Coturnix japonica: one gene and its partner. The protein of the gene in region 1 purifies or fractionates together with the protein of each later gene. This does not show direct contact. Links are inferred from orthologs where the notes say so. Each region holds a gene or a part of one and is shown in the gene's direction. Other genes may lie near its edges.

Region 1 (16,385 bases):
GATCTTTTGTGGAGTCTTCTCTGAAAACACTAAAATATAGGCTGTTTGGGAAAAAAGAATGACAATCGTTGATCTTAAAATGAAGTTGCTGCTGCATATTTTTGTAGTTCTGAGTTTAGTTTGGATAGTTTTGCTTTGATTTATGAACAAGCCTGGGTTTTACCATTTGAGTTAGGACTCCTCATACAGGGGCAAGCCAGTAGCTCTATAGTTGTTCCCAACTTAATCTGATAAACGCAGAATTGGTGCTAAGAAAGAAAATAAGGATATTATTTATGGTATCAGATAATGGCTGCAAAGTTCTGGCTATTACATAGGATGGGATGTGAGAGTATAAGATTTCCTGCAGTTTACTGCAGTTCCTGCGGTTCAATTGAATATACAGATCTTTATTAAGAAACTATAATTAAATTCTTTTGTCTTTTCATAGTAGTATTAAAGTGCAATGCAGTGTACTAGAAGTGACAAGGTTAAGGTTTTAACCTTAACCTTTAAGTGACAAATGTTTAAGGTTAAAAATTAGGTATTTATGTTTCCATTTATTTTTTTTTTTTATTTTTTAATGATTAATTCTCTTATTTATTCTCAACATTTATTACTGTCAATTGAAGTTACTGTTAAAGGATTCTTAAAAAGACTTTTGTTATTTCATTTGAATGCTTTTGTGTAGAATTTGTAGCTACGTTCTATGAATCCCGGGGGCTGGACTCGATCTCTAAGGTCCCTTCCAACCCGCACGAAACTATAAAACTATATAAATGAGCCTTAATAGTGTCTCAGGAGCCATTTTCTGGTTTTCAACATAATTTTTAAATTTATTTTGAGCAATGTAATGTATTTATATAAGTTTCATAAATGTTTTGTTCTTCTTCGCACAAGAATATTGAAATGAATTAAAATTCTCTTTAAATTCAAGGAGATGAAGTTCTAGAATGGAATGGTAAACCCTTGCCTGGAGCTACAAATGAAGAAGTTTACAACATTATTTTAGAATCAAAGTCAGAACCTCAAGTTGAAATTATTGTTTCAAGGCCTATTGGGTAAGGCTAACTATTTGCTTCTTAAGTGCAGTTATTAGTTCTACTTTTCATTGTTGATATTCCATACATTACAATTTCTTCATCGCCTGTTATGATCTTGGGCCTTTACGGTGATTTATCTGTATAAATGATTTCTTAGGAAGCACAAGCAAGCATTGAGCACTGCTGGACTTGAATTATGACAATGCTAGTAGGAATTTAACGAATTTTTCTTTAGAGAGAGAGAAAAAAAAATATGACTGCTTTAACTGAAATTTGTCTTTTAAAGATGCTGTCAGAATAAAAGTTTAAACAAAAATACCTTCACATTAGCTAATGTAGTTTGTTTCATCAAAAACAATGATTTTTATTTTTATTTTTATAATGTTTATCTGTTATAAATCCCAGCTTGGCATTTAATAGTAAGAATTCTTGCATTCTTGATTTCTGAAATAAGGCTTGGAAGTATCATAAAATCTGTTTGAATTGATAAAATGAGTGTTGTTGGCCTTGCATTTGTCACAATAGTTTTACAGTGATATTTTACACTCCTTCCCCAAAAATGATTCTATTGGGACTGTTTTGAGTGGTCTTACAGGATGGAATTTCAATCATGTGGTAAATTGACAGTTAAATTGCAGAGATGAGTCACATGGTTTACAATAAAAAGTGAATCTTGACTAGTTCAAAAAAAAAAAAAAAAAAAAAAGTGAAAGGTTTAAATCTATCTGTAGTTTTTAGTTTTTGCAGAGATCACATACTCATTGTACGTCTCTTAAGTACCAGTAACCTGTAGGGGGATGATGAGCTGTTTTGTCATTTATAAATGCAGGATTCTTTCATTTTGGATGAGCTGGATTTCATCCTAATTATAAGTTTTATCTATCTCAATTATGGCAAGTTTTTATTTTGAGAAACAGAAAGCACTATTCATTTTCCTTCTGACTAACACATTCTTCTTTTATCTTTATTTCATATCAGCTTTTGATGTTTGGTTTTGCCCACACTGTGCTAATGTAGATATATCTTGCAAGTGAACTCTTCCTTTTTAATGACAATCACTATTAGAATTATTTGGAAGTATTTCGATGAAATTAACATTTGTTGTTAATCTTAGTGGCAAATTAGACCTTGATGAAAAAATAGTGGTTGTTTAGGACTCAAGTTAACATCCAGAGTGAAACAGTATGGAAGTAGAAACCTTATTTGACGTTTTTTAGTCGCAGGTAAATTAAGAGACAACCCAGATTGAAAATTGAAATTCAGTCCATCGTCTTTATGATTTAAATTAAAATGCCATAAGTGGGTTTTTGAAAATTTATTTTTTATGTTTTTATCAGGAGAAAAGAAGTATCAGACTGGACATATACTTCATTTCTCAATTGAAAGAAAATTGATCTGTACAACTGATATGAAGCAGAAACTGCTGTATCAGTTTTTTACATAGCAAGCTTCAGATATCAATGTATTTGTAAATGTCATTTATCCTTAGATTTTATTTTGATTCTTAACATGACTAATTATTGTTTATGAATTCTATAAATGTAGAGACTTCAAAAAGGTGAAATACAATGTGGCCAAATTCCGCTAATGACCTCTTGAAAAAAAATCCAGGGAAAATACCACAACTGTTGAACTGAGGCCGAGAAAATAGAGGGCATTCAAAAACAAAGACTGCTTCTAAATCTGAACAGTGACTCTTGCACTAATGAAGTGGAAATAGGGCCAATAAAATGTAATGTTTTGCTTTGTATGACCCATTCATATTTCTTTCCAGACAGCAAATTCAGAAGACAGATTATAATTTTGAGACAAATGGAGAAGGAATTGTTGACATGCTGTAATAATTTTACCCTCGTAGAACTGTGTTGGATTATATTTTTCCATTTATTTATTTATTTATTTATTTATTTATTTATTTATTTGTTTGTTTGTTTGTTTGTTTGTTATTTTCCTGTGGAGAGCAAATAAATATCCCAAGAGGGACTGAAGAATGTGTCTTTTGATGTTTAACGGTCTCTCATTTTTCCAGTAGAAATTAGATTAATTTCTAATTAAAATTAGACCTGTTGTTCTATATCAGATTGGGATTTACCTCTCTCTCGTCTAAATTCCACAAAAAAAAAAAAAATAAAAAAAATCTCACCCTGGCATTGTACAACTAAGGAAATCCTAATGTTAGTTAACAACAAAGAAAAAAATAAGCCAAGAACACCGCATCCTGCACGTGATTTTCTTGTTTGTTTGTTTGAATTTGTGGATGATTTGCTTTGGCTAAATTTCTTTTTTTTTTCTTTCTGGCTTCTCCTCACCTTGTTATTCCAACTGTGTGTTCATTTCAAATTCATGACAGTGGATTTTGCTTAATCCAGTGTATCTAGTATAACCAAGATTTGTGTCTACTTTAGATTCTGATTCAGCAAATTTCCATTTGCTTGATAAAGCAGTAATTGGTAATCCATTACACCTAAAATTCCTGTGAGGGAGTAGGTTCCCGAAAAATGATATTTCTTCTGCATAATTTAAGTGTTTTCATCTCTCAATATTAATAATGCAAGCAATGTACTGGCACATCTAATGGTCTTTTTTTAAAAGGTCCTAGTATATTAGGTCTAAAAAGCCTAAATTTAATATTGTTTTGCTAAAGTAAATAATAGGAGGACTGTAAGTCCACAAATTAGACGACTGCAAATTACAAAATTGATGTCTACCCAGTTTGCTTAGTCTTGTAAATTTGTGTTTCTGTGTCTATCAGTAAATGTAATTTTGAGTAATGGATAATTGTAGGGTGTTTATTAGAGAAAAATGTGAAAAATTCAATACAATTAGCAAATAAAGGCATAGCAAATGGTATAACCACAGTAGTACCATAAAAACTTGATAGAAACTAATTGACATTAATACTTGTGATTGCAGACACAGGGTAGGTAAGAAACCATTTAAAATTAGATTTAATGGGTTGGCATCTAAATATGAAGGGGGAAAAATGAGCTATGAATATGCATACAGTGGTAGAGGCCATTAATTTAAGGCAGTGTAGACTTTGGCAGCACACTGTTTGAGAAGCAGTCTGGCATGGTAACTGTCTCTTTTGTGTTCGGGTGAGCTCATATGGGATAGTGCAGGTAAAACAAACATTTTCTTTACTTGTCTCTTGTTTTCCTTGTTGTATACAAATTATATTTGCTTAGATTTCCACAAATATTATTACCAAAAATGACGTCTCTCCAGTGTGATTCTGCTCCTCTTTGTTACTGTCCTCTAGGTCCTTGTGAGGAGAGCCTCCGTAACAAATCAGACAGTGCTAGATTTCAGGGAGTTACTAGAGTAATACAATTAATGTAATCTGCAAATTGGTTGGTTTTTTGTTTTGTTTTGTTTTATAAACCATTTACTTTAGCTAGTCTGGCTTTAGTTAGTTAAAATCATTTCTCCTATTTCTTCTGAAGATTTTTTTTTTGTAGTTGGTGTCTTTCTCCATCCACCCAGGTATGTAGGATGAACTTTCCATGTTGAAATGATTCTTGCACCTATAAGCCCTCTTTAAATATCCTAAATTTTGTATTAAGAGAGTATCACAGACTTAATGTTATATTGAACAGAAAAATCAGTTAGAATAAAGTAAATAAGTATTTCAGACTGATGAATATTTCCTTGGAAACTGAAGAGAGAACATGCTATGAAGTCCACACAGCAGCCCTGTTGAGCACCATATCATGTATTTGATTGTGTAGGAGTATTATGCCATGTCAAGAGCAAGTAATGCAGTTTTTTTTCCATGAGTTTGAGGAAATTCCATACTCACAAAGTCAAGAACTTTCTTGGTTAGTGCTGAGATGCAGGCTAATGCAAAACATCAGTTGGGAGCTGAATTGGGTTTTGTTAAATCTTGTGCACCAGAGATTTACAATGCAGATCTTGAAAAATAAATCTAAGACTTGTTGATTGGGAGCTATTACATTCATTTTCTAACTTGTCTGTTTCTTTGTTGTAAGTAGCATTTATATATGTCTAGAGGTCTTAGTTTTATTGACTTCTAAATCATTTGGTAGCGTTTCACTGAATGGAAAAATACCTGACGACCTTTAAAATGCTCACTTTTAGACTTTAAATGTCCTTCAAAAGTACTATTTTTGTTTAAATTCTGAATTAGTATTTGCAGAAAAAACAAGTTTCAAGTGAACTGCTGAAGAGCTTTATTTCCATTTTCTTGCTCTACTTTTCTAATATTTGTACAAAAACAGTCATATCTTGCCCTTGCAATGTATTTTCAATGACTGCTGAGAACAGGACACAAGGAACTATTATTATCAAGGCTATGATGGAAGAGTAATTGTGATTTTTGATTTTGAACTTGATGTCAAAATGTTGATAGATATGTATGGATGTAACTGGTTTGATTTTGTTTGTGTGTGTGTTGGATGTTTCAATGTTGAAAAAATTCCACACCCAATTGTAATGTGCTGTGATACTTTTTTAGCCTATGAAGAAATGTATTATTCTTTTGTAGTTTGACGTTTCTAATGTTACTTGTTTTTTCTTTCTTTTTTTTTTTCTTATCATAAGACATTTTCATCAGTTTCATTCTGTGAATTCCTTGAGACGTTTATATAAAGATTACTAGTGAGTTAATCTCTGTGTTGTGTTTTTGTTTAGTTTTTAAATGTTTCCTCCAAAGAATAGTTGAGTGACGGTAGCTATACTGCCATTTACCTCCTTCCCTTCATAAAACCTCTCAGGATTGTGAAAATAGTAGAATCCATCCATAATATTTACATCATAGCACTTGTATTGTTTTGTCTTCTAGCTTCTACGTTTGAAGGAAGTAATAGTTTCCATTGTTATGGTTTTCATGGAACCCAGTGAAAAACGATGAAATTTCCCCTTCTTTCTGCATAATCCATTAGAACAAAATAAGAAACATGTTTCTAAAAATGTTCTCAGAAACGTATTTCTTGCATCTTCCTCATTCCTAATTACTTTGTATATGTTCATGTTTTTTAGTGATATTCCTCGGATTCCTGAGAGTTCTCATCCCCCATTAGAGTCCAGTGAGTACACTCTTTGTGAAAGTGCTATGCTGCCCTTGCCTTTCATGAGCTTGTCCTTGCTCATGTGAGCTCTGCTTCACTGACAGAGAACTGCTGATCTCCTGCATAGACAGGAGTGTCCTCTGTGCCAGATGCCTGTCTTGCATATCTTCTTGCCTCTGAATTCTTAAAAGTTAAAATCACATTTCAGAGACTACCATAGGAAAGAAACAAACAAAAAACAAAACAAAACCAAAACGAACAAACAAAAAAACACCAGTGAGTTTACTCATTAAAATTTTCAGCTGTGCACTATGTACGATGGGGATATTTTATTCAAGGCATGGTGTGTCAATGATAGATAAGGAACACTTTGTAATATGTTAATTAGAGTAAAAGAAAAAATGTCAGGTTTAATCCGGGTTAAGAGTGTCTAGACTGTCTTTTTCGCCACCCTATTTGCATAACCTTAAAATATTTCTGTACACTAACACATCAGTACTATACATAAAGACAAGCTTTATATGGTTCAAATTAAAAACAATTCATAAATTATCCAAATTTGCTTTAAAATCTCAGGTGGAAAGTTCATGTGTTTCTTGCATGTTTTTAGGTTCAAGTTCTTTTGAATCTCAGAAGATGGAAAGGCCTTCTATTTCTGTTATTTCTCCAACCAGCCCTGGCGCTCTAAGGGATGCACCACAAGTCCTACCGGGGCAGCTTTCTGTGAGCAGATTTTATTTTTCCTATGTTAATAATGAATGTTTATCAGGTGTTGGTCCCTCAGCCCTCTGCCTTTCCAAGATCCATTGGGAAGTCAAAGGAAATGGCTGTTGGTAAATTCTTAACACCTTTCAAATGTGTAAGTAAACATTCGCTGTAATCACAGCTGAGGTAAGGAGTTGTCTTAATACGTGAGAACGTGCAGAAATTTACATTGAGGAGTCCATGAACACGCCTTCCAATTTTTCATGCTGTACTCTTTTGTACTTGCAGATAACAAGCACTGTACCACTCTACCTTCTTTACAGGAACACTTAAAGAGATATGTTAACTTATATTGTAGAGAAATACAGTTTAATTTAGATATACATCACCTCCTGGAATTTTCTGTCATGCTAATTGAAACTGTATTTATTAAATACACAGTGAATACTTAGACTTTGTTATTATATGTTCTTTCATTTTTATATTCATTATATTAATTTCTAAGTATGAAGCAGACTCAAAAATTCTATGTTATGATCCTATTAGGAAAGAATTTAGCTGTATTTTCTATTTTCCCTTAGAACTGTTTAATGTGACAGATGAGAGTAGGTAGATTTTGAACATGCCTGAAGTTTAGCTGCAGTTTAGCTTCCTATTTAAGAGTAGATTCAGAAGAGCAAAACTAAGACAATGCTGGCTTGAATGAACGTACATGTACCAGGGAATACAGTAAGCAATGTAAGTATAATCGGGTACCATCATTTTATTCATCTAGGTGAATATGGAAGTCTTCGGTATAGGCCAACACATTTTATTCATAGATTTGCAAATATATGTATCTCATTGTTTCTTGGGAAAATGAATATTACTTCTACTTTGTGTTTAATGTGACGCAGTATGAAAATCCTAATTTTTTAATTCATTTTAAATGTTGTTTTTTTCTGGTAACTTGTTTCATGTAGGTGAAACTCTGGTATGACAAGGTGGGACATCAGTTAATAGTGAATGTTCTACAAGCAACAGATTTGCCACCAAGAGTAGATGGACGGCCAAGGAATCCTTATGTAAAAATGTATTTTCTTCCAGACAGGAGGTAGTACATCGGTTGAGAAAATTATTTTGTAATTCATTTAATCAATTTTAAGTAAATGTTTTTGAATTACAGAATTCTTTTATATTTTTTTTTTGTTTGTTTGTTTGTTTTTGTTTTTTGGTTTTTTTTAGCGTAATTATGAGAAAAAAATTGCACCAGAGATATTCAATTCAGTATCAAAATAACTCTCCAAACATTTGGATGAATGCAATCCACTGCACAGCAAATACTTTTCTCTTTTAAGGCATTATAATATCAGGAAAAATGAAACCAATAAGTGCTGATGAGTTTATGGCTTTTTGTGATTTATTTCTACAGTTTACAATAAATATTTATGTTTCAGTGATAAAAGTAAAAGGAGGACCAAAACGGTAAAGAAAAGTCTAGAACCAAAATGGAACCAAACTTTTCTCTACTCGCATGTACATCGTAGAGATTTTAGAGAACGAATGCTTGAAATAACAGTATGGGATCAGCCAAGAGTACAAGAAGAAGAGAGTGAATTTCTTGGAGAGGTGATGCATACAATCACATTTATCCTGAGTTTGATACTTATTTTTGAACATGTGTTAAAATTGCATATTAAAATTTAAATTAAAATATGAACATTTTTTTTCCTAGATTCTTATAGAGCTGGAAACAGCACTTTTAGATGATGAACCACATTGGTATAAGCTACAAACACATGATGAATCTTCACTACCTCTGCCTCAGCCATCACCTTTCATGCCAAGAAGACATGTTCATGGTGGAGAAAGCTCTAGCAAAAAATTACAAAGTAGGTCCAATCCATTCACCTTTTTTAAAATTTTAAATTTGAAATCCTGGGTATGTTGTACTGATATTTAGTTTTCACATACAAGAAAAAATTGCTATTTCATAGTTAGTGTAATAAAAATGTATGGCACAAAGAGATGTGACTTTGCACATGCCAGCATTTCACACTTTCAAGTAAATGAAACCTATTTGAATCGATTGATTTTTCACTAGCAAAATAAAATTGGTCAAGTATTTGTTTTCATAAATCTCCATTCAAAAGGAAAAATGAAGTCCTCATTTATTGGATACTTTGTAATAATTAAAAGCTTTTTATTAAAAAAAAAAAAGGCTTTGAAGCTTTTTGAAGGGTAAAAACAATTCATTTAAGATTAGTTTCAGCTTTCTATGTGCTTTTATATATGCATACCATATAATCAGATGGAAGAGTGAATTTAAGCAGCAAAGAGAAACTGTGTGCTTTGGGAGGTACAGTTCTGAAGATTCTGATTCCACGATTGTATGATTCACACAAAAAATAATGAATGTGTTGAAATATTTGACTATTGTAGCTTCTCTGTTCATTTAACTTAGTAGACGATTTATTTTAAAAAGGAAGGATGCAAGATATTATTTTTAATATGCTTTCAAACTATTCTGATTTTTATTTTTTTTTATTTTAAACATAAAAGTCATTAATTCCAGCCAATGCGTAAGAAACTGGGGCATATTCACAATGAATTATAGAAGTGTGATACTGCTGTAATTACTGCCTGAGAATATGTATAGAGATAGCAAACTAAAGGTTAGTTTTCATGAGATATTTGAACTTTTTAAAAGGCTGTCAATGCTGCTTCCTCTTCTCCTTTCCCACCATATGCTCCCACCTCTGCTTTCCTGTTCAGCTGATTCAACTTGCTCAACTCACTGAAATAGAACAAAAGTACCCTTTTTTTTTTAATTTATTTGAGAAGTAAAGAAATCTTTTTGCTTGTTTAGTGAGCTAAACTGACCTCATAGGAGAGTACTGAGGGAAGAAAGGCAGAGGAGGCTGCAGCATCTGTGAGCCTTTTGGATTGGCTCAGCTGTTTGATGAAACATCACCAAATCAGCAGTGCAGTTTAATTCTCCACTTGTACTGTTTAGTCATAAAATCACCTTTTCAATTTTAGTGTTACAAATGAACCTATTTTTACTTTTTATAACATGGCCAGATGTTCAGGTATTTGTTTACCTTACTGTTGTGCAGGATCTCGGCCTATCAGTGATAGTGACATCTCAGATTATGATGTTGATGATGGTATTGGAGTTGTTCCTCCAGGTGCGTGGGTGAACAGCATGGTCCTGCTTTCTTCTTCTTTCTTGCTTGCTTATTTATTTATTTTCATTATAACATTTCAGAATATTGAGGATGTTGATTTTAGAGAATGCGTAGTGGGAAAAACAAGTTTTCCTGTTCATTCCATGGTTCTTGTCCTTCTAAAATATGGTGAATTAAAAGGTTAATTCATTGGTATTTCCTTTGCATTCCATTCTTCATATAAGAACAACTTGATGGTTCAAATTGTTTACTACATAACGTTCCAAGCATTATTAAAAATACTTATTTAATTTAAAAAATTGTTTTACAACATTAATTAGGGTTTCAGTGTTTATTGCAAGCATGTTTTTATTTTGCTTTTTGCTTGAAACTTAGATGTAAAAGAGTATTCTGTAGACTTCGAGAATGCATGGCTGTAGATTAAGATGCATGTAGCATGGCTGTACCTTCTATAGTTTCCTTGAGTCTTCGTGAACTACCATTACCCTAAATGTTCATAAATTTAGTTTGTACCATGGTTAGACTTTAATTTATCATCCTTTTGTACTTTGGATACCATATTTTTCTATTTCTATTTGACTGTTGTTGTGAGTCAGATGAATAGATCTCAAAATTATCCCAAACTACCCTAAGAGTCACCGTTTCATTGGCAGTACTAAATAATTTTTCCTTCGATGTTCCTGGTGGCAATTACTGAATTAAATCATGGGGAGGGGTTAGAAAATTCTCGGTCTTCCTGATTGGAGTTTAAAATAATCTGATAATTTATTCATTATATATTCATTAAAAAAACATCGTGCATTTTATTACCACAGATAGATCCAAATTTTGCTTCCTTTTATGTGTTAGGGCTCTTCCCTTACTTTCATATGATTGCATATGAGCAACTAAGAGGAAAATTTGTATTTGATTTAATCAAGTGATTAATATAGTTATTTACAGAAGCTGAGAGAAAGAACCTTTAACCTAAAAGTATATAACAGGTTTTAAAAATGTGGCATATCTATGTATGCTTTCTTACCTCTCAATATACATGCTTAGAACTGGGACTTTAAGCTGCCAACTTTTTAGAGCATTCATTTGAAATAAACCATTTCCATCTATCCAGGAACATTCAAGAACATTTATCTGAGTACACTGGACTCTTCTCTGGGTCAACCCCTGAGTATCTACAGTTCTTACAGAAAGCTATTAGGACAGCAAGTGCTCAAGTGTGGCTTTGAAGAATACATGGGCTCAGACTTTCTCAAGACATCACTACAGAAAATTGCAGTATATTGTAATGCCATATACCACTAGATTTTTTTTAGTTGGTTCATTCATCAGTTCACAGAACTGTTTACAAAAGGTGCTTATACTCACAGCTTTAAAGTAACTTAAGTTGAAGCTCTGCTTAACGCAATTTATTTTTGTGGTATGCCTATATCTGTTTTCATGAATATTATTTGAATGCTCTCTGCCTCTCCACAGATGTACAATGCTCCAGGCTTTTAATTAGTTTTGTGGTCCTGCTCTGGACTCAGACTACTTTAACTTTTTGTCTGTCTTCTATGGTAGAGCCCAGTATTCCAAATGTGACCACACCATTACTGAGTCAGTAAAATGGGTCAGTAAAGGATTTAAAAAAGCAAAATAAAACGTGATCTGAGGCATTAGTGGCTCATACTGAGTTGGCAGTATACAAGAGGATATTTTTAATGAACTGTACTGCTTTTGAGTAATGCTCCAGAAGAATTTATTCTTCAGTCTAAAATTATCTGAATAAATGGTTGCATTGCACTCGATGTTCCTGAATCAGCAGGGTGACATCATAACACCTTGTCATTGGCTGTATTGTCTTTTTTTATGAAGGAAGTTAGTGCTTTAGATATCAGAAACATTTTCATCATCCATACAGTTTCCATTTCATGTCACACCCGACAGTTTCCCATGACCACCTGAGAAACTTCTTCTCCATAAACTGCCATCTGCTGTGTTGCTGCTCCCATGCAAAAGAAAAAATTCCCTGCTCACTCTGGAGAGCACAGAACCTTTGTTTTTGAAGATACAAGGAGATGTTACTGTTGCTGTCACTGTCATGGTCATTGTGGAACTACGGATGCAGTTTTACCAACTGAAAAAGAAGTAATACGTACAAGAAATATTTACTGTTGCCCTGTCTCTTCTATAAGCTTTGTGTTCACCCAATGCACAAGGTTTTAATACCGTAGCCAATAGCACAGCTATGAAGAATATACAGTCTGATAGCTTCTTCATATGCCAGGTGTTTAAGTGCACAGGATAATCTTAGGTATTGTTTTTTTAGATGGATCAGAAATACTCTGGAAGCACACTTTAAACTGAAATTTATGATTGAAAACTTGAAGCACATTTCAGAATAGTTACTCAAGCTTAGAAAGAAGCTTTGGGTTTCTTTGATTTTAATGTTAATAAATGTAAACTAGCGTTTCTTGTGTTAGAGAGGATACAATTTTATACAAAATATTTTTTTTCCAGAAAATATATTCTCGTGCATAAAACTCAAGTTTAATTATACTGGGAAAGGGAACACAAGAGTTTTTGTCATATGTAATCAGTTGTCTTCCTCTGACAAAAATACTAGATGTTTTCTGAACCAATCTTATTACAGAAAATGAGGCAGTCTCCAATGAAATCCTGAGTGAGTCACTGTTTCGCTTCAAAGTTTTCACCCAGTCCTTGTACTTACATTGGGGGTGTCCTGATATTTCTGGTTTTATTACATGAGTCTGAAAAATGTTTTCAGCAGATAAGATACTCCAGCATCACAGTGCATCAAAATCAATGTGACTTTGGAGTCTTTCTTTGTAACAAATATTATGAACCTTGGAGTCCATACTTTCCAGGGTCATGCCCCTTTTGCAATCAGTGCTCGCTAACCCATTGTGATTAAGTGGCTTCGTATACAGACTGCACTTTTAAGAGGCTTAAATCAATCTGGTAAAACATTAGAAAAGAACCGCATGATATTCAAATTATGTAAAATAATAATAATAATTAAAAAAACCTAAGACAAGACAACAACCTTGAAACAGTAGAGAAAGAGGCTCAAAAACTGCAACCTGTTTCATTTATCCAGTTGAAGATGTTGTGTTTAGATGATGGTCTTTACCTGTATGGGGAGAAGATTTTTGATACAGGCTACTTTTTTAGCTAAAAAAAAAAAAAAGCATAGTACAGGTATATAGTACTAGATAAATGCAATAGAAACAGCAAAATGATTTTTTTTTTTTGGTTTGTGAATTCAGGTAAGGGTGACTATAGGGATGACCTTTCCCTATTTTCTCCCTAAAATTCGTGGAGATTTTTTTCTCATCTAAATGTCTAGATAGGAGCAACTCTGACCAAATTCGCTTAGGATATTCTGGAAAGGTAGCAAGCACCTTTAGGAAGCAGTTCATCATGCTGATCTTCATTAGATACAGGATTTTTAGGGTGAGGTTCAAAATATGAACAAGTAGCCTATTATTTAGAAAAAAAGAACAGGAATATCAGCAGTTAATAGCAGAATGATAGTACATTTTTAAAGTCCTAAACAAAAAGAGATTATGAAAAATATTGCATCTCATTGGTAGTATTTGGAAAATGTGGTCTGCAGTGGTTATGACACTCAAGCTTATATATAGTAGAGTATAAATGCTTGTTATTTTTGAAAGTAGGTAGCTTTGACCAAGTTGAGTGGCAGAGCATTTTTGTGTTTAACTGATAAAGGTCAGAAAGAGGCTTTATTTTTGAGCAGTCCTGTGTGAGTATCTGCTATAACACACAGGCATGCCTTCTCCATTTGCTAGATGAGGTAAACCTACATTATTTAGATTCATTTCAAGTATGTGTTACTCTATGACAATTTTGAAATACAAATTACTTTATGTACTCTGCCCCAAGATAGAAAAGGTTATCAATTCTCCCCCTCACACTTGCCAATGCATACTGAAAGTCATCTCAGTTTCTCTGCCTCTGCACATATAGGAATTAAAAGGTAATCTTAGTATTTTGTCCTGACTGCACGATGCGTCAGGACATACAACAGCTGAATGACTACCTACAGTTGCATAAGCATTTAGTTGTGTGTTCCTGAAAAGACTAACCATCTGAGTTCATTCAAAATCCACGTTGTTGTTCTCTAATTTCCTTTTATTGCCCTCTTATCAGTAGGTTATAGATCTAGCACTAGAGAAAGTAGATCTACAACACTAACTGTGCCAGAACAGCAAAGAACAACGCATCATCGTTCACGATCTGTATCTCCTCACCGTGGTGATGATCAGGGCAGGACCCGTTCACGTTTACCAAATGTGCCATCACAGAGGTAGGCATCACAAGTGAGTGAAACTGGTTGGTTTCAAGTTTGTACAATCTCTCACTGGTATGTTTACTTTTCTTCTGTTCAGCATTTTTTAAAAAACAGAATTGTATTTCCATTTAATAGTTATTTGAACTTGATGTATGCTTCCAATAACCATTCAAGCGCAGCCCTGAGATTAATCATATCTTTCTAAGACTTACCTCTTACTGATATTTTCCATGTGATTCATTGTAGGTTTGGAAATGCTATTCAGGCAGTGACTGAATCTTATATGAAGTAATTTAAGCATTTTTATAGGATAATGAATAGTGCAGTAAACAGTCATAGAATTGTAGAATAGCTCAGGTTGGAAAAGACCTTAAAGATCATCAAGTCCAACCATGACCCAACCATACTAACCTAACTAACAACCCTCTGCTAAATCATGACCCAAGCACCACATCCAAACGGTTTTGAAACACATTCAGCAATGGTAACCCAATGGTGGCCTGTGCAGCCTATTCCAGTGCTTAATAGCCCTTTCTGTAAAGATGTTTTTCCTGATATCCAACCTAAACCTTCCCTGGTGCAACTTGAGGCCACTTCCCCTCGTCCTGTCATCTGTTGCCAGTGAGAAGAGACCAATCCTTTCAGATACTGGAAGAGAGTAATAAGGTCTCCCCTCAGCTTCTTTTCCCCAGATTAAACAGCCCCGGTTCCTTCAGTCACTCCTCACAGGGCATATTCTCCAAGCCCCTCAAAAGCCTCGTTGCCCTTCTTAGGACCTGCTCCTGTACCTCAGTGTCCTTTCTGTACTGAGGTGCCCAAAACTGAGCACAGTACGTGAGGTGAGGCTTTACCAGTGACAGGTACTGGGCAGGATTACTTCACTAGTGCTGGTCATCACACCGTTCCTGATACAAGCCAGGATGCCATTGGCCTTCTTGTCCACCTGGGCACGCTTCTGGCTCATATTCAGCTGACTGTCCATCAGTACACCAAGGTCCCTTTCCATCAGGTAGCTTTCCAGCTGCTCCTCCCCAAGCCTGTACGGTTGCCTGGGGTTGTTGTCACCAAGATGCATGACCTGATACTTGGCCCTTTTGAACCTAATACAGTGTACCTTAGCCCATCAATCCAGTGTATCCAGGTCCCTCTGTACTGCCTTTGTCCCCTCTGGCCGACCAACACTCCCTCCCCCCCCCCCAAATTGATGTCATCAGCAAACTTTCTGAGGGTGCGCTCAATCCCCTCATCAAGATTGTTAATAAGATGTTAAATAGAAGTGGTCCTGGTACTGAGCCCTGGGCGTCACCGCTTGTGACTGGCAGCTATCTGGATTTAACTCGATTGACCACAACTCTTTGGGCCTGGCCATCCAGCCAGTACTTCACCCAGCGGGGCATACACCCATCCAAACCATGGACAGCCAGCTTCTCCATGAGAATGCTGTGGAGGGCAGTGTCAAAGGCTTTACTGAAGTCCAAGTAGACCACATCTATAGCCTTACCTTCATCCACTAAGCAGGTCACCTTGTCACAGAATGAAATCAGGTTTGTCAAACAGGATTTACTATCCGTAAACCCATGCTGACTGCACGTGATTGATTGACAATTTGTATAGTATTGACTGACAATTTGTATAGTAACTATGAATAGAACTTATTTTGAAGTAACAACAGGCTTAAATTACCAATTGTGTTTATTATTTGTTCAATCAACCTGTACCATTTAATTGTCTATTAAGCTGTATGTTTTATGAGGGAAGTAAGATTATTGTACATATGTCTGCCTTTCAGGAGTTTTTAATTGTCCACTAAACTATATTATTTGTGAGAAGAACAAGATTATCATACATATATGTGCCTTTCAGGAGTTTAGATGAAATTCATCAAATGAGAAGATCACGTTCTCCAACTAGACACCATGAGGCCTCCAGAAGTCCAGCTGATTACAGATCCAGAGACATGGATAGTCAGTATTTGTCTGATCAAGAAAGGTATATTGTCTGTCTGAACTTGGTAATAACATTAGAAATGTCTTTGTCAGTTTGCCTGGTTTTCAAATGTTCAGCAGAAAACCACAGCCTGATAGTAATGGGGGAGGGACAGATAATCAGATAATCATCCCCATTGCAAAACGTAGTCATATTTAAA
Region 2 (16,385 bases), on another chromosome or scaffold:
ATCAGTGCATATTTAATTGTTTGAGAATGGTGAAATATATTGCTTTGGATACCGTTATCGTACCAGCAGGGAGGTGGGGCTCAATGATCTCTAGAGGCCTCTTCCAACACCTACAATTCTGTGATACTGACAGATTATCCTTTGTAGAGTGGTTGCTCTACTTTATTTTGGAGGGACTTTCTAATGGAGGGGATTTTATGGGTTTGAACTGAGAAAGCTAGGGCTAAAGGATAATATTGTAAAAAAAATTGCCAAATGGGAAGAAGACTAACAGGTCACTTTGCTTTCCAAAATCATCTATCATTGTTAGTCTTCTTTCTATGTGTAGAAATTGGGTTGTTAAGGAGAAAAGGCTGTAATTTCAGATGAGTTTAGGCTCCTTTGTGCTTAAAGATCAACAGATCTTTAAGACAATGCAGGATCAGAATCTTCACCTCTCCAACTCTCCCAGCTTTTGTTTAGTAATATATGTTTAGTAATATATGTAGGTTGCTCTGAAAGGGAGGGGAAATGCTGTGACTAATGGACAGCTAAGATCGAAAAATGCTCTATAAAGTTTAGCAGGTATGAGTGAGAAGTTGGGAAGAAAGAGGAATAAGATGTATACTTCAGCTAACAGCTGTAAAGCAATTTCAGATGGTTAATGTGCTCTATCTCTTCTGTTCTGCTCTAGAGTAAGATAGAATGACTCAGATCAAAATGAATCTGAGCACGAATTAAGAAGTAGGAAAGTATAACTTTATGTCATTTCTTAAAAATGACGTATCTGAAAGGGCCCATAATTTTTACTAAATTATTTACAGAAATGCAATGGGATGCATACAACATTCTCGATATTGTGTATTGATTCTATATTCTCACTCTCTATAATACAGTATAGGAAAAAATCCTCTCTAAACATTCAGTGGTAAAACTGGAGATTAGAGGAGGATATGTTGATGGGGATATTCATTTTGATCACAAATCTGTACTTAAACTGCAGTGGGTTTGCATTATATAGCCAGCAGATGTCTAAGCATGTGATTGGGGGAAAAACCTTAGCAGTTCTGATTAAATAAGGCTTTTGCATTCCAAGGTGGCTATATATGCCATACCCACCCCACACATTTTGCTGTGTACCTATCTGTAGCATGGGGCAATAGAAAAGAAGCCAATAGTTGCACTGTGCCTGTGGAGTTTGCATGGTGCTTTGTGAAAATGATGCACATACCTGATCTTGAATTCAATTTCACATTTGCTTGCTTGTATTAAGCTTTGTTTTGTATCCAGCTGTAAGCCAGAACTTAACTCCTTTCTTAATAATTGCGTAAACAAAATGGTCTTATAGCATGCTTGCTAGTGAGCAGTTTGAGAGACAGGAAGAAGGTATTGTACAGTGCTAATGGACTGTTGACAGAAGGCACAGTGTTGTCAGTTTAAAATCCATTACTGTAGTGTGCAGTTGGCCCCAAATGCCCCTTCATTCCCATTTATTTCATTGCAACTGGCACTGAGCAGCTCACTGGAGGCTTCCCTGCATTTCATGACTTTGAACCGCTGTAAGACAGTAAACCAACAGAAGGATGCACTGCTACGTCAGTGTTGTAGTAATTAAGATTGTTATATTGTCAAAAAGGAATCCGCCAGCAAATAGTGGGGAAAAAAGAAAAAAATAAGTAGTTGTAGGAGAATCTTTTAGTAGTTTAAGGTAGAGTATTACTGTCCCTCTGTAGTCGTTTATAATTAGATCTCTAATCCTAGCAGTAACTTTTCGTGGTGTTGTGGTCTAGTTTCAGAGTCATATCATTAATTTGACATGTTTTCCTACAGAAATGTACAACTGTTTTTATGGGCATGTTTAAATAGTGTAAGTTGACAGTGCTTAGAACTTAAATTCTTGAATATTTAATTGGCATTCAAATAGGTAGTTTTTTTTTTTTTTTTTTTTTTTTTTATATGAACATTACTGTAGCAATCCCTGGTTTTGATTTACGTAATTCTAGTGGGATACCTGAGTGTCCATGTATGCCATACATACACACATCCCCTCACTCAGCCCCTAACTCTTTGAATAACGAGGGGAAAATTGCTCCCTCTTCTAAGAGAGGAACACTTAGAGTGCTAATTTTATTTTTCCCTAATTGATATTGTTTATTCTTATGTAAGGGTATATTAGTATCGCTGTTATCGTTATTTTTATGAGGCATGTAACTGCAGGTTTTCCTTCGTGTTTTCGTGCTGTTAATATTTTTCTGCAGGGTGTGAACTTAGTGCCATCTTCTGGGAAAACTGAGCAAGTGCAGGGTTTTAATTTGTACTGAGTGTATATAGGCCGTAAGTCAGAGGACTCTCAATAAGTCTGGCAAGACTAAATGAAGTTTTAAGAAAGTTAATTGCAAAATCTATCTTCTGACTTCTGAAGGCATAATTTTGCAGCTATTGGGCCACAAATGCTGCTTCCTTAATGATTTCTCCTTGCAGATCTGCCCCACTTCTTCAGAAACTCTAGGCAAAATCTCATTCCAGATGGTTGCCTCTCTTTGTGATGCATCATTTTTCTATGTTTGATCTAACTGAAGATTTTAGATTTGAAGCTTTCAAAAATCTCTCTATTTCTTTTTTTTCCTTTCCCTTAACTGTAGCTGAATGCACAATTCTTAATTTCCTTTTCAAATCGTTTCAATGGGAAATGATTACATATCATGGTTAATTAACTCACAGTACTATTCCTAGTAGAGAAGAAGAAACAAATTGAAAACTGTGCTCTTTTCTGGTTGCGTTTATTTTCCCCCCCAGATTAAAGGGTAGGAAGAAGTTGGAACCCGATTTATCCGTCTTTTTTTTCTTTTCTTCTTCTTTTTTTTTTTTTTTAAATAAAGAAAACATTTCTAGTGTATCAGAAGCTGTGCTTGAAATTCTCATGTGAATAACCTAGTTTGTATCACTTTCCTAATGGCAGTGTTAAAAGTAAATAGTTTCAAAATCAAAAGATAGATAGGATTGGAATTTGAGCCCAAACATCAGGGACAAATGAAGGACTGAAAAACTGCTTCTTGAAGGGAGGAAAACAATCCTGGTTTAAAGCTCCAAGGAAGTTAGATTTTGTAATGTTTTGAAATCATTAGATAATTCCATGCAGTTTTGTTTTGTTTTTCTTATAGAAAGGAAAGTTAGAGATATTTAAACTACTAATATGATTGAAAAATTGTCTGAAAGTTTACTCCGTCCTTTATTCAATTTCAGTTGAATAAATTGAAAACCCGTCATAGAGCTGAACCTGTTGTTTTCCACTAACATACTCAACTGCTCATATTCATAATTCAACAGTATTCTGGATTGCCATTCCTGCTGTATTTTCTTCTAATATTTTTGTTATGCAATAGTAATAAACTATTGCCTTTTTGCATCGTTAATGTGCTGTCAATCTATATTGCAAAAAGAGGTTGTTTTCGGAGACTTGAATCATTTTCCTCAAATAGTTTATTAGAAGGTACTTAACATTTTTCTTTAGGGAATGGTTTAGTGGAATTCATAATTGTTGGCAATCTAAAGTATTTTGTGTTAGATTTTCCAGGCTCAAAAACAAGTTGATTGACTTAAAACAAATTGTCTACTTAAGCAACAAGTCAAAGCTTTCTGAGAAACTGCATGCCTCAGGCTTATTCGAAGCCATGCAGATGAGAGCTGATTAATGCCTCACACTGCAAAGCAGTGAAAGACCACAGAAGTGTGCTGCTTGTTTTCTTAGGTGAAAATGTGAGAATGGAAACTCCAGAAAAAGTGCCCAAAAGATAATGAGAATGATCTTAGTTGTAACTTTGAATATTAACCATGATGTAGGCCAGATGAAATTAAGAGAATAAAGGTCAAGCTTGTTTGATTTTCTTGTTAGCAAAGTAAGGTTTATTTTGTTTCTTACACAAGGTACAAAATAACTACATTTCAATAACCAATCGTGGACATAAGTCAACTGTTCGATATCTGCATGAAGAGAAGGCTGTATTTGGGCTTTGGTAAAGCTGCTTAGAAACAAGATAGAATTATTAGATAAATGTCAGAAATCCCCCACTGGATAAATTCTTCATTGAAAAGTATTCAATTGATTTTCTTAAAAAAAATCATATATATATATATATATATGCATATATATATATATATATAAGAAGTTGGATTTTAGGGGCAAGGTGAACTTAAAGATCTGAAATAAAAATGCTCACCACAGAAAGCATTGGCTAAACAGGAAAAATGTAGTAGAGAAGAGGAGGAAGGGACTAGAGAGAGAGAGAGAGATTTCAGACATAAAGACTGTTTCTAACGAATGATTTTTGATGCTTTAGAGTTGCAGTACAGTCAATGCTTCATAATACTGTGAAGAAATATGTTTTGGCAGAATGAGAAAGTCGATCTGTAATGGCAGGCCTACTTAGGGCAAACAGCAAAGCAAGGGAAATAATGAAAAATGACATCTAAGCCCATAGCAAATTGAGGAATGGGGGAAGAAATGGGTTTACAGATTGTGCTTAAAGAATCTGGTGCAAAACTACTCTGAAATTTGCAATACTAAAATGTTTTTGCCTGCAGTTAGCCCTCAGTAATAAACTGAGATATGTTTTTGTACAATTATACCAAGTTCTTAGGTGATGCTTTCCTTCCAGTGTTGTTTTTCATTAAAATATTTGTGGGAAATCACCAAGAAAAGCTGACTGAATAGTCAAAAAGCCTAATAGTTTAGATCAGATTAAATACAAGGTCTATATTATGGAATGCAGATGTCTAATATACATGATAAGGTTCCTTATTTAGCCTACAAAGCATGGTATTAAGAGCAAGCCTTTATCAAGTTTGACAAGACACCAAATCTAAAAGTGGGCAAAGAAAGAAAAATTAAGGAAAGCAAACAAACAAGAATCTGCCCTTTTGAACACAGAGTGCCAGCAGACTGTTATACATAAATTGTCTCACATCTGTTGCAGCTCCAGAAATTTCAGTGCTGAGGATGCATTTTTGTGTGAAGTTTGAACCTTCTATGATTCCTTAGATGTTGAATCTTTCTTTTATAAGCTGTTTTCCTCAGGGGTGCCTTATAGAGGTGCTTATAAAGTAAGAATCTTTATTTAGCAAATAAAAACCAAAAAGTCAACCATATATGTTGTTGCTATTTCTCCTAAGTTACGAATCCTGTTGTGTAGCTACAACTGTGTTTTCACTGCTTTCTGTATCATTAGGCATTTGCCACTGCCAGAGACTGGAGTGTATGAGCCAATCCAGCCTTTGTCCCATGACACAGGGAATAAACTGTAGTTACTATAATACCCTCTGTTGTGTGTAATAGAGAAAATATGATCATGCAAGACTGCTTAATAATGTATCCCATTCCCTCAAAAATTTAGCTGCAGAAACTGCTTAGTCATCCTAAGTTCAGAAAATAAATTTTGTAAAATACTGTTAGATATGGCTTTCAAAAGTCTATAACAGATAATAAAACTGTCAAAAGCTCTTTTTATTTTGGTGTGTACTAATAAAAGGAAGGGGAGGGAAGAAAACTGCTGGAAGCAGAAAGATTTTTTGATACAGCTTCTGGAAGTTTTTGTCATGTATCCACCTTGCCACCTGCATCCACATCCTACGCTGCAGCGTGAGATTGCTTTTTGCCTGGAACTGCTTTATTGCCTAGATTATTATCTCCAAACTTGCAGGGTTCTGCTCTCAGTTGTTTTACACTTTAGAAGGCTGTTTGTCTATCACAACCACATTGATGCCGTGGCGTTGAGAGGACAGAGACAGTTTTGACAGTAGTCATTTTTTCCTTATCTTACATGGCTTTACATCAGTAGTTGTATAAGAAAATGCCTAATACATTTTACCTTTTTAAACAGAGTGGGAAAGAAACAGGATAATCAGTAACTGAAAATGGAACAGTGAGAGACAGAAGCCAAAATACAGTGGCTTGAAGTAGAGGAAAAATACTGCTACCTGTCACTCTGTTCAGGTGAAGCATCAAAGCAGTGAATCATCTTGAATGGCTACAGAAATAGTTGTTTTGCCTATACTGGGTGACCTTGACATTGACCACTTTAGCTGTAGTGCTGTACTGAACCATATAGAGGAGAAACACATTCAGAATTCCTCACTGCTCATTTCCAAATTTTGAGTGATTATTGTCTGTGGAATAAACTGGTTAGATTATAATGATATTAGAGGAAATGAGTAGTAAATCACTTATGGCACACTTTCTAAGTCTATCACTTGATAATAACCTATGACACTTAGTTTCTGCCACCAAATCCTTCTGGCTGGCTTTCCCAGTCTAGACAACCCCAACTATGATTCCTTTCTACCTTTACCTTACCTTACACAGAATTTGTTGCTTCCTTCCAAGTTAGTGTCAGTTTATTTGTCATTATTATTTTAAAATTAATTAATTAATTAAATAATAATAAATGATTTGGTTTAATTTTCTCAACAGTTTTCAATAGATTCTTCACTTTTGGTGCCAGGGTGGTGATGTAAAATAGAATTTCTGTATGCCTGTAGATAATTATTTTAAATTGGTCAATCTCTTTACAGTATCCTTTTTTCTCCAGTGTTTACCGTATCTCTAAGGCTTTGAGATGCTCAGAAATGCTTTTGTGCTCTGATCCAGGGTGTGGTGTGGCAGGATGGTTCTCTGAAGGTGATCTGTCTGTGAATAGCTCCTTTCCATAGGTTAACGTTCACATGTAGAGCAAAAGTTGGAAGCCAGGCAACCAAGCAGGGGTTGCTAATTCCTCTTCATAGTTCTGTTTCAAATTATGGGGGCAAACTGTGGAAACCTGCACTGTGCTTAATTGAAAAAAAGGTTAATGGGAACCTCCTGTGCAGTTCCATGGATCGCCTCTTGGAGTTGGGCTGTAGGGGAAGATCACAAAAGTTCTGTGAGAGCTATTTATATGTTCCATAGAAGCCTGGAATCTTTCTTTAAGCCCTTGTCATCTGGTCTGTTTTTAATAGAAATTATGAAAAGTGTGATAGATCTTGTGTGTCTTTTCAAATCCCACGAAGTCCTGCCTATATACTAAAAGCAGCGTGACAGATATTCACAGCACTCCCACATTCCTCCCCTGCTACAATTAATTATTCAGTACCTTTCCACCCTCGCAACATGTGTTCTCTCCCCTTCTTAGCAAGCTGCAGATACCAAAATCTGTGCCAGCACAAATCTAAATCTGGGCCATCGTGTTCAAAGATTTCTGAGTCTTGAAGGACTAAGAAGGTAGCAGCAGCCTGCTGCGGTTGAGGCTCTTGGCTTAACATAGTTACAGAGAAGCAGACACAACAACTGCTGTGTTCAGCAACAAATGTGTTTATGGGTGGAACGTGAGAGCACCATGCATAGGTTGCTGTGGGACAGAAAGGGAAGTTATGACTGGTTTATCTTGCCAGAATTGCTATTTTGAGTTCTGATTTCTAATAATTTGTTTGTTGATCTAAGAGTTTTTGCTTTTACAATTGACGTTCTGAAGATTTATCGTTAGCAATTTAATTTCCCTTTTATTACTGTTTATAAATATTTGAGATATTTTACAAATGGATGTCCTTTGATTTAGCTATAATCTTTTTGACAGTGGCATACAGAGATTGCTAAACTCGGGAAAGCATTATCTTATAAGTAGTTTTTAGCATCAAGGAGTAAGTATTGTCTAATGTAATGTTAGAAAAAGCTATTTTAAATCATACAGATCGGAGGAGGAAAAAAGTCTTCTCTTTTGAATTTTTATAGACTATACGAGTAGTTACTGAATATCTCTGCTGCGTAGTAGTGAGATAATTGTGCAGTGCAGAGGGTTTACTTTACTATGCTTATGCAAAGTACTGGCTCTCTCCACAGGTTTTTAGAGGTGTGTTACATCAGGCAGTCATTCTTTTGCAAAGAATGAAAAGATATGAGTTTCATTCTTAAAATAAATGACTTGGGACTGAAACTCCAGCTGATGTGGAGACTGTGCTCAAAATAAAGTAAAAGAGAAATTTTTTGAATTATTTTATTTTCCATTAAAAGGAGAAAATTCAATTCAAATATCTATCTCAATTAAAAAAATATATAATTAAATATGGCATGAAAAAGCTTTAAAATCAAAACATTTAATTTGAAAATGCCAAGTGATTTTATTTTTCTCCTTTTGGACCTTTTGAAGGAGGTTATTATTTTTTTTTTAATTTATTTTTAAAATTTATGATTAATTTAAATTAGTAACATTTATTTCTTTCTGTAATTACTCATCTGAAAAATTTATGTTTCTCTCCAACTTTCAGTTTTGCAAAACTACGCAGGACTTAGAGCAGTGTCTATATTCCTAAAGCAAACTCTTGTTTAGCCTAGAAGCACTGTGTAACTGCTATATTAACTGTCGGAGATGATCTATAAATATTGTGTCAGTACTGTCAAAAGGCATTTGGAAAGAACGAAGTTTGGTCTTGTTTACTCTGCAGCATTTGTCTCTGTCTCTGCCTTCCCATCTCTTTGTTAATTCGTTCATTCATAAATATCGTTGCATGATATTTCTCTATTTTTTTGAGCATTTTGAACACTTGGATTTCTGTGCTAAATCTGTCATTCTCAGGATCATAAACAGTACAGTAATGGATTTAAAGTAGGAAATTGCTACATCTAGAACAACTTTGAAATTAAGTTCATTGGGAACTTTTCAACTTATCTAAATAATTCAAAACATACTGAGATTTTAAGAAATGGTGAGAATTACCATTAGTAATAAGTAGGGCTGTAAATGAGTAGACTACATTTGCATGTTCTCAACTGAGTGCGTGCCTAATGAGATACAAACATTAAGAGATTTAAGCTCTGAACAGCTATAAAAGCATTGCCATTTAATTGTAGAACAGATTCAGACTACAGAATTTCACTGCAGCCCAAACTTTTTATCCTTTTAAAGTGACTGCTAAGAGATGTGATTTCAGATTTTTTTTTCTTTCTGTTTAAATTGAGTTTATTACATACTGACAGATGTAGGAATAATTCTCAAAATGAAGGTGTTATCAAGCAACTAAAGAAGCCTCTCATACTGACTTCAGGTGTTAATGAATTACTGTTTAATTGAAGTGCGGAGTTGCAGAATATTCATTAATGCAAAAAAAAAACCCACCAAAAAACAAAAAACCAAACCCACGTCTGGTGCCACAAATTTGAAGTCATCTAAATCGTATTGATATGATATGGCTTTTCAGGAACTCGTATTTCTATGCATTTGATATATTATATTAGCAAATAAAAAAGAAAAAACAAGGAGACAAACATTTTCAGATATTAAACATGCTGTTATCATAAGTTAGGATAATTATCTGTGATTCAAGTTTGATATGAACAAAATCATTTTATTTTTCATTGTGTTGAATATGGAGTGAGAGATTTCTCTTGAACAACGCTGTACTCAACTGTAATACAAGCAATGTAGGACAAGATACTGTGTGAAAGATAAGTATGAAAGCACAGTGAGATGTAATAGGAGTATTATTATTATTCATTGTGGGATTAATTAGTTTGTATGGTTTTTTTTTCTATTTTTTTTTTTCTGTGTCATATCTATTGAGTAAAGTCTGTCTTGAGCTTTGGTTTGTATATTTGAGTATTGTGAAGTTGTTGGTGCTGTTTTGTATATCTCAATAAAGTTATTTTTTCTGTTGAAGATACTTTTTGTTGAATTCAGTTCTTTCTGTTGAATCTCCTTTGCTTGCATCTGACCTTTATGTTGATTTTGCTTCATTTTTCATTTACCATGCTGTTCAGTTTTTGGATGCCAGGAGAACAAAGGTTTGTCTACTATTTGCCGTCTTTTTTTTTTTTTTTTTTTTTATTTTTTTCTTTTTTTTCCCCCAAAATTCAATATTGCTTACTGTGTTTTTCCTGTTTGTTCATTAGAGATACAGTAATCCTGTTTACTAAAACATTCATGGCTTTAGTTGCCAAAAGAAAAAAACAAAACCAATCAAATGCTCCCCCCTCACTGCCTACCAAGATCCCTTCAGAGTTACAGGGAGTGCTTTGATTGACTTCATAACTAATCTGCTGAGCACCATGCAGGGCAGAACCACCTGTGGTCTATGAAGTAATTTAGAAAACATGGAATACTGAGTCTTTCAACTTTATAGGCACATATTGACTGTACAAATGGACGTGTCACTGCCTTGTGTTTGGGTCTGTTGTTTTTCTTTGTTCTTCATTTTATCTGTAGTTGACACTGTGTGTGTTGTCATCTATTTTCTCTAGAAGCACTTGAAGGATGTCATTATAAACACTGTCACATGCATTTGTGATTTTTCTTTTTTAAGGTCATTTAGTATACTTTCATTATTAATGATTTTTTATAAAAGCATACAACGAAAGTTTAATCAAAGTCAAATTATACATTCAGATTCTAAATCTATTTATTTATTTATTTTTGGTGTTGTAGCATCTGCAAATGACAATCCAGGCACTTCAAGATGAGCTTAGAACCCAGAGAGATCTTAATCATCTTCTGCAGCAAGAAAGTGGAAACCGAGGTGCTGAGCATTTTACGATTGAGCTAACAGAGGAGAATTTTCGAAGACTTCAAGCAGAACATGATAGGCAAGCTAAAGAGCTTTTCCTGTTAAGAAAAACTCTAGAAGAAATGGAGCTAAGGATTGAAACACAAAAACAAACACTAAATGCTAGAGATGAATCAATAAAAAAGCTTCTGGAAATGTTGCAGAGTAAAGGTTTGCCCTCAAAAGGAATGGAAGATGACAATGAGAGAACTCGAAGGATGGCAGAAGCTGAATCTCAGGTTAATCATTTAGAAGTGATATTAGACCAGAAGGAGAAGGAAAACATACATCTTAGAGAGGTAAGGAAAACTCATTATTTATTTCTTTAAAAGATATTGCTAATGTATTTGCTGCAGGTCTGGAAATAAGTGTCTGAGTGTTTTCCTTTTCTGCTTTCATTGTTTCCTAGAAGAAGATGCACCTATTTAAAATCAAAATTAATAAACAAGTGGACTGAGAAATTATGGAAAAAAAGTAATTGTGCCATTTGGGGCTTGTTGTCTTTGACATTGTTGCTTTGCATGCAATCTAGATTTCTTGTATTTTGACAAATCCATGTTTAGCAAATCAAGATGATTAGAATTATTGAAGAGACACTTAGCACCTTTTATTGCTATAAAATGACTTGCCACGAGTACATAGGGAACTTTGCTTTTATACCTCTTGTGTTTCAAATAAGTGTTTTCAAACATTTTGCCTACTGTACTCAGACTTTATCTAATTTATTTTCTGCTGGGGTACACAACAGAACATCACTGTATTTAGATGCTGGCCCCCAGCCCACCTGCATCAGCTGCCCACATTACTTGCTGATTAATTTTGAAACTAGATTTGGGAGAAGTGCAACTGAAAGAAAATCTGCCCACTTTTCAAGCCCGTGTGACCTTCTTCATCCTAGCAGCCTCTGAAGCTGGTGACAGGGAAATGAGACCGTGTGTCTTCCTCAGAGAGAGACCTTGTTGCTTCCCACTGAGAAAGGTGACAACTGCAGAGGTAGAGTACAAGCTACCCACAGTGAGGAGAATCAGGACATCCAGTTCTATTTCCTTAGAAATTCAGGAGCAGTGTAGTCTGGTTGAACTACTAGTCTGGTAAAAGCACTGATTTGCCTGATAAGTCAAAGCATGAATAAAATCAGTACTAGAACACAGAAGACTATTATTGGTTCTTGAATAAAGAATAGCTATTTACATCTATAGAACTTTTTTTCCCCCGTGGATGAACTGTTTAAGGTTAAAGCTATTTTGTTAGTAAAAAGGAATTCTTAAAACCCAGTGATTTATTTTAGATTTCAGATTAAAAGGAAGAAAAAGAAATACGTATTGAGGCCTCAGTTGTACCAGAAGCACTGCTCAAGCTTGGGAACACTGGAAAATTTGCAGGGCACAAACATACATTTGAAGTTTTTTAGTGAAGATGTGAATCCTTGTGAATCTTTTCTCAGGCAGAACATTCATTAAAAAGCGATGCCACCACTTAATGGAATCAGTGGATTCTGAAAGAAACTGCATAAGTGAATTAATGATACTATATTATAAAAAGGGTTGTGGAAGAAGTGCTTCAAATGTATTTCTGGAATTAAATCTGCTGGTTTCAGAGAAATACAGTTTGTTTCAAGTGTGGATGACCTGCTGTCAACTGTTTTTTGTTCTATGATTGTGCCTTACTTATAGCATCATTATTACTTATATTTTTGATTACTAATTCAGGCACATCTTGGACATGAATAAAGCAGAAATTTGAAGAAGGTTTTTTAATTTGCAGAGTAGTCAAGCTCTGGAATGGCCTTCTAAGAGCAGTTAAAGAAATAGGACTAAATAGAGCATGGAAAGTGGACAAGATATCTCATAGTTCCCACTGGGTTGCTCTCAGGAACCAGGAAAAAAATTGTTTCTCTCTGAATTTTTATTGAGGATAAAGTAATTATCTTTCCTCTAGAGCAAACGTTCAGAGGGGCTTGCTGGAGTTTCTGCTTGTGGCATGCTGATACGCCTTTGAGACTTATCAAGGTTTAAAATTTACAGTTTGCTGGTCAGAATCTCTGTGTCAGCTTTGGGGAACTATCTACTGATTTGGGGATTTTGGCTAAGAATTTCCAAAGCTTTGTGTGAAATTCTCTCTCCAGCTTTGCTCCTGAGGCAGGCTGTAGTTATTGATTTTTATTTATTTGCCTTTTGCTGTATTGCGACTGGGAGTTGTCTGCACAATTTAAAGGAATATCAGATATTCAGTATCTAGTTTTATCCATTTGTTAAAAAACAGAATATTCCACTTTTGATTTTTGTGTAGTGCAGTGAGTCTTTGTTTTCTGCTGTGTTTACTAGAATTGCTGTTAATGCATGCAGTCTCTATCCTTCAGAGTACAGTTTCTGAGCCTGATAAATTAGGAATTACTGTGCTGAATCTTTTGCAGTAGTGTCCTTAGTGGTTTCCATTTTTCAACAAGAGGTTTCAGGTTTTCAACCTGGCTGTAAATGACCATATTTTCCCTCTACTTCCCTGAGAATGGTTTGACAGTGAATCAAAACTTGGAAGCTTTTTCAATCCCACTGAGGAATGATTAAGAATTTAGTATATGTCCAGCACCAAATTTTGTTCATGTTTACCTGTCTTTAACAAAATATATTTTGGAGAATTTTGACTAAAATATTCTGATTTCTGTATTTTTTACAGGTTACAGTGTTGAGCTCGTGTTGAGTATATTTCTGAAAAACTACTACATTGTCCTGTGTAACTTAATGTTTGATCAGATCCTGAAAATTAATTTTTAATTAGCTTTGCCATTATTGCTTTTACAAGTTGCTGTTATTACTGCATGTGAAGTATGCACGTTACCAGAAACCAATATTCTACTGTCTTGATTCAAAATAACATGAAGTTATCCAAGATTTAAGTGGAAAAATAGGGGGAAAAAAACAAACTTTGTTTCTTTTTCTTTCCCATGAATAGCTGTAGAAGTTAACGTAGTTGCCTCACAAAATGTGGAATTTCTCCAGACTATAGATTATATTTCTTGGAGATACTGGAGAGAAGAGAGACAGAAATAGCTAGTGTAATAGAGGCATAGGAATATACCTCTGGAATATAAAACAGTCGATTTTGGGGTGGTTTGGGGATGTTAACCACTTGCTCCTCATAGACCATACCTTTCTGCAGCGTACGCTCTACTGCACTGTCAGACTTTGTTTCACAGTGGTGAGCTTCTGATTGTGTTTACTCAAGTTCTCTTTGAGAGCACTAGGAATGGCAAATCTGAACCTTATTACACAGGAGGAAAGTTCAGGTGAAGTTGGAATCCTGCTCTTCTCTTACAGGAATCACAAAGAATGTCTGTGTTGGTGAGGTTCATTAAAACACACGTACTGGGGAAAAAAGCTATGCAAAAAAAATGAATGCATTCCTTTCTGCATATTAAGGAATTTGTTATACAGGCAATACGTTTTCACAAGAATAGCTAGATTCCATGACTTGTGCTAGTTATAGCAAAACTTTCGTTAGTTGCTTATCACAAAGCAAAAGACAATAATCTGATTGAATAGCATGAAGTACATGCTTGCGTTTTAGCTTCAGTTTTGAAGATACAGCCTGCTAAGGAGAGATTATGGAGCTCCTCTCCATGGTTTCTGAGGGCATCTGTGTAGTCTGTGCTCACTCTCCCTTCATTGAGTTAGACTGAATCTTTTGCCTGTAAGAAATTTAGCTCATTGAATGCCCAGAAATATTTTTATTAGCCTTTTCCTATGATAGCTGGATTTTATTGTTATTTTATGAGAGAAAATGATATACTATATGTTTGCTAAGGAAATTGTGTTCTTCAGGTTGCAAAGTAGCCTTTGCGAATACACAAATGTAAGTAGAGGGCCATTCTTGGGCCTGGGAATTTCCCTGTTTGTATGTTAACAGGTGAAAAGGAAATCTGTCTTGAAGCCATGATGTCATACCATTGTGTTCTTATGTTCAGAAATAAGTATAATGTATATCACTAAACATACATTCCTGTCGTTAAAAATGCCTGCCTTTTACTACTCACATTGATTATCAAATATATTTTCCAGGATTTGAGATAAACATTTTTTTTCTCTATAGTTTTGGGAGTACTGAAGGTAATCTGGTGATTTTATCATGTGGAAATCTAGCACAGATGTTTGGTATTACTTTTTTTTAAACATAGTGACCACACATTATTTACCCTAAGTACCATTAAGTATTTTTTTATTATTGCTATTAAAAACTTGCCTTAGGCAAAGTCCCACTAAATCTCTAGTAAAGTCAAATGTTAAAATTCCAGCAAGTATTTTATTATATATACATACGCATAGATTACACATGCCTTCTCTATATAACATACAAATTCACTAAAATGGAATCTGAGATCATATAGGATTTTATATATACATTTTAACTCTTATCTTGCATGTATTCTTAAAATAACATTGTACGTGGTTTAAAGCTATGGTCTTTTCTTTCTACACTTAGGAAGAAGAACACAGCTTTATTATAATTTAAAGTGCACTTTTAAGCTTTCAAGGGTTTTTTAAAACTTGCTCTATCTTTGAACTCAGCTTGGTCAAATAATGATGGTTGATGATAGGATTTGAACTGCCATCATGAATTACTTATTGCATGTTTTTAAAGTTATTAATGGAGTAAAGTTCTTTCTTCCACTGTGAGTAGAACAGATGCCTTGCAGACTTTTGGTGTTTACTGTAAATGTCTTACACTGGAGCCAGTAGTAATTTACTAAGGAAATGCTTTACCGACACCAAACATTTCTTCCCTGTAGTTAGTTATGCAGATTAACAACCATTCTAGTCTGAGTGTTTTTATTAGGTTCATTAGTGCCGCTTTCCTTTTATTTCTCCTGATTCAGCACAAAATATTAAACTAATCAGTAGTTATAAAGACAATCATTTCCTATCACAATATTGATATGTGTTTTAAGGTGACTTCTTAGGTATACAAAAGGACTTGGCAGTCACACCAGGCAAGAAAAAGTAGGCAGAAACTGATTATGCTCTAGAGAACAAATACTATTCCTAAGGTAGCCCGTTTGGGTTTTGCTATTGCCCATAATATTATCACTGGGGCGCTTGGTTGTTGCAGTAGTTCTTAAAAATCCAATAGAAAGCTTTTTACTTACATATGAGTTTTTTTCAGTTAGGACAGGTTTTACTCTCCACAACAACATCACCACTAGTTTGGAATCTAGAATGAGAAAAGCATGAGTTTGAAATGAATGGTGATGTTTGAGAAGCAATTAAAGAAATTGTTCTAGAAAGTGAGAAAAAGCATGAAACACAAAATTGAGAAGAGTGTGAACACATTTTCCAGAACTTGAAAACTTTGTAAGTACTTAGATCCAAATACTATTTTTTCCATAAGTCATCCCAACAAGGTCAATGGGATTAGTTGAGTGGGTTGCAGTGGAGGGGATCAGATTTGAAAGAATCTAGACTTTGGAAAAGTGCTTTGTGACATGGATCAGAAGAAAGTTCAATTATTATTGATGTTCAATTATTATTTTTTTAAAATAGTTTGTGTTCCATTCTAGACATGATATTGGAAGATTTTCACACAGTCCATGTTCCACTAATATAATTAGAAGAAGAAAAATAATTATTAATTGATCTACAGAAAAATGCTTACTTGATTTTCTGCTGCTGTTCTTGGTAGTTGCAAATAGGTTCTTAGTGGTGTGTCCCTCAGTTCTATCTACAGTCCTATTAAAAATATTCTTATGCTGCCATTGCTCTTATATGTTGGCAATCTGATTCCTAATTTGCTTTAAATGAGTGTTCCAAGTGGGGTTAGCTCAAGCTAAAGTAAAAGGACATCTTACAGAA

The links.
Region 2: the proteins of RIMS1 (region 1) and ERC2 purify together in Homo sapiens (affinity purification with western blotting; 3 studies listed by BioGRID and IntAct, with this or other methods). This does not show direct contact. The link is inferred for Coturnix japonica from reciprocal best matches to the Homo sapiens genes RIMS1 and ERC2.

What each region holds. Positions count from the first base shown.
Region 1 is NC_029518.1:74,859,539-74,875,923, reverse strand, and holds part of RIMS1 (regulating synaptic membrane exocytosis protein 1), read left to right. Parts: intron 1-916; coding exon 917-1,040; intron 1,041-6,023; coding exon 6,024-6,070; intron 6,071-6,662; coding exon 6,663-6,775; intron 6,776-7,719; coding exon 7,720-7,850; intron 7,851-8,193; coding exon 8,194-8,365; intron 8,366-8,471; coding exon 8,472-8,628; intron 8,629-9,855; coding exon 9,856-9,927; intron 9,928-14,097; coding exon 14,098-14,254; intron 14,255-16,102; coding exon 16,103-16,228; intron 16,229-16,385. UniProt on the Homo sapiens protein: Rab effector involved in exocytosis. May act as scaffold protein that regulates neurotransmitter release at the active zone.
Region 2 is NC_029527.1:6,061,812-6,078,196, reverse strand, and holds part of ERC2 (ERC protein 2), read left to right. Parts: intron 1-9,760; coding exon 9,761-9,784; intron 9,785-10,424; coding exon 10,425-10,841; intron 10,842-16,385. UniProt on the Homo sapiens protein: Thought to be involved in the organization of the cytomatrix at the nerve terminals active zone (CAZ) which regulates neurotransmitter release. Seems to act together with BSN. May recruit liprin-alpha proteins to the CAZ.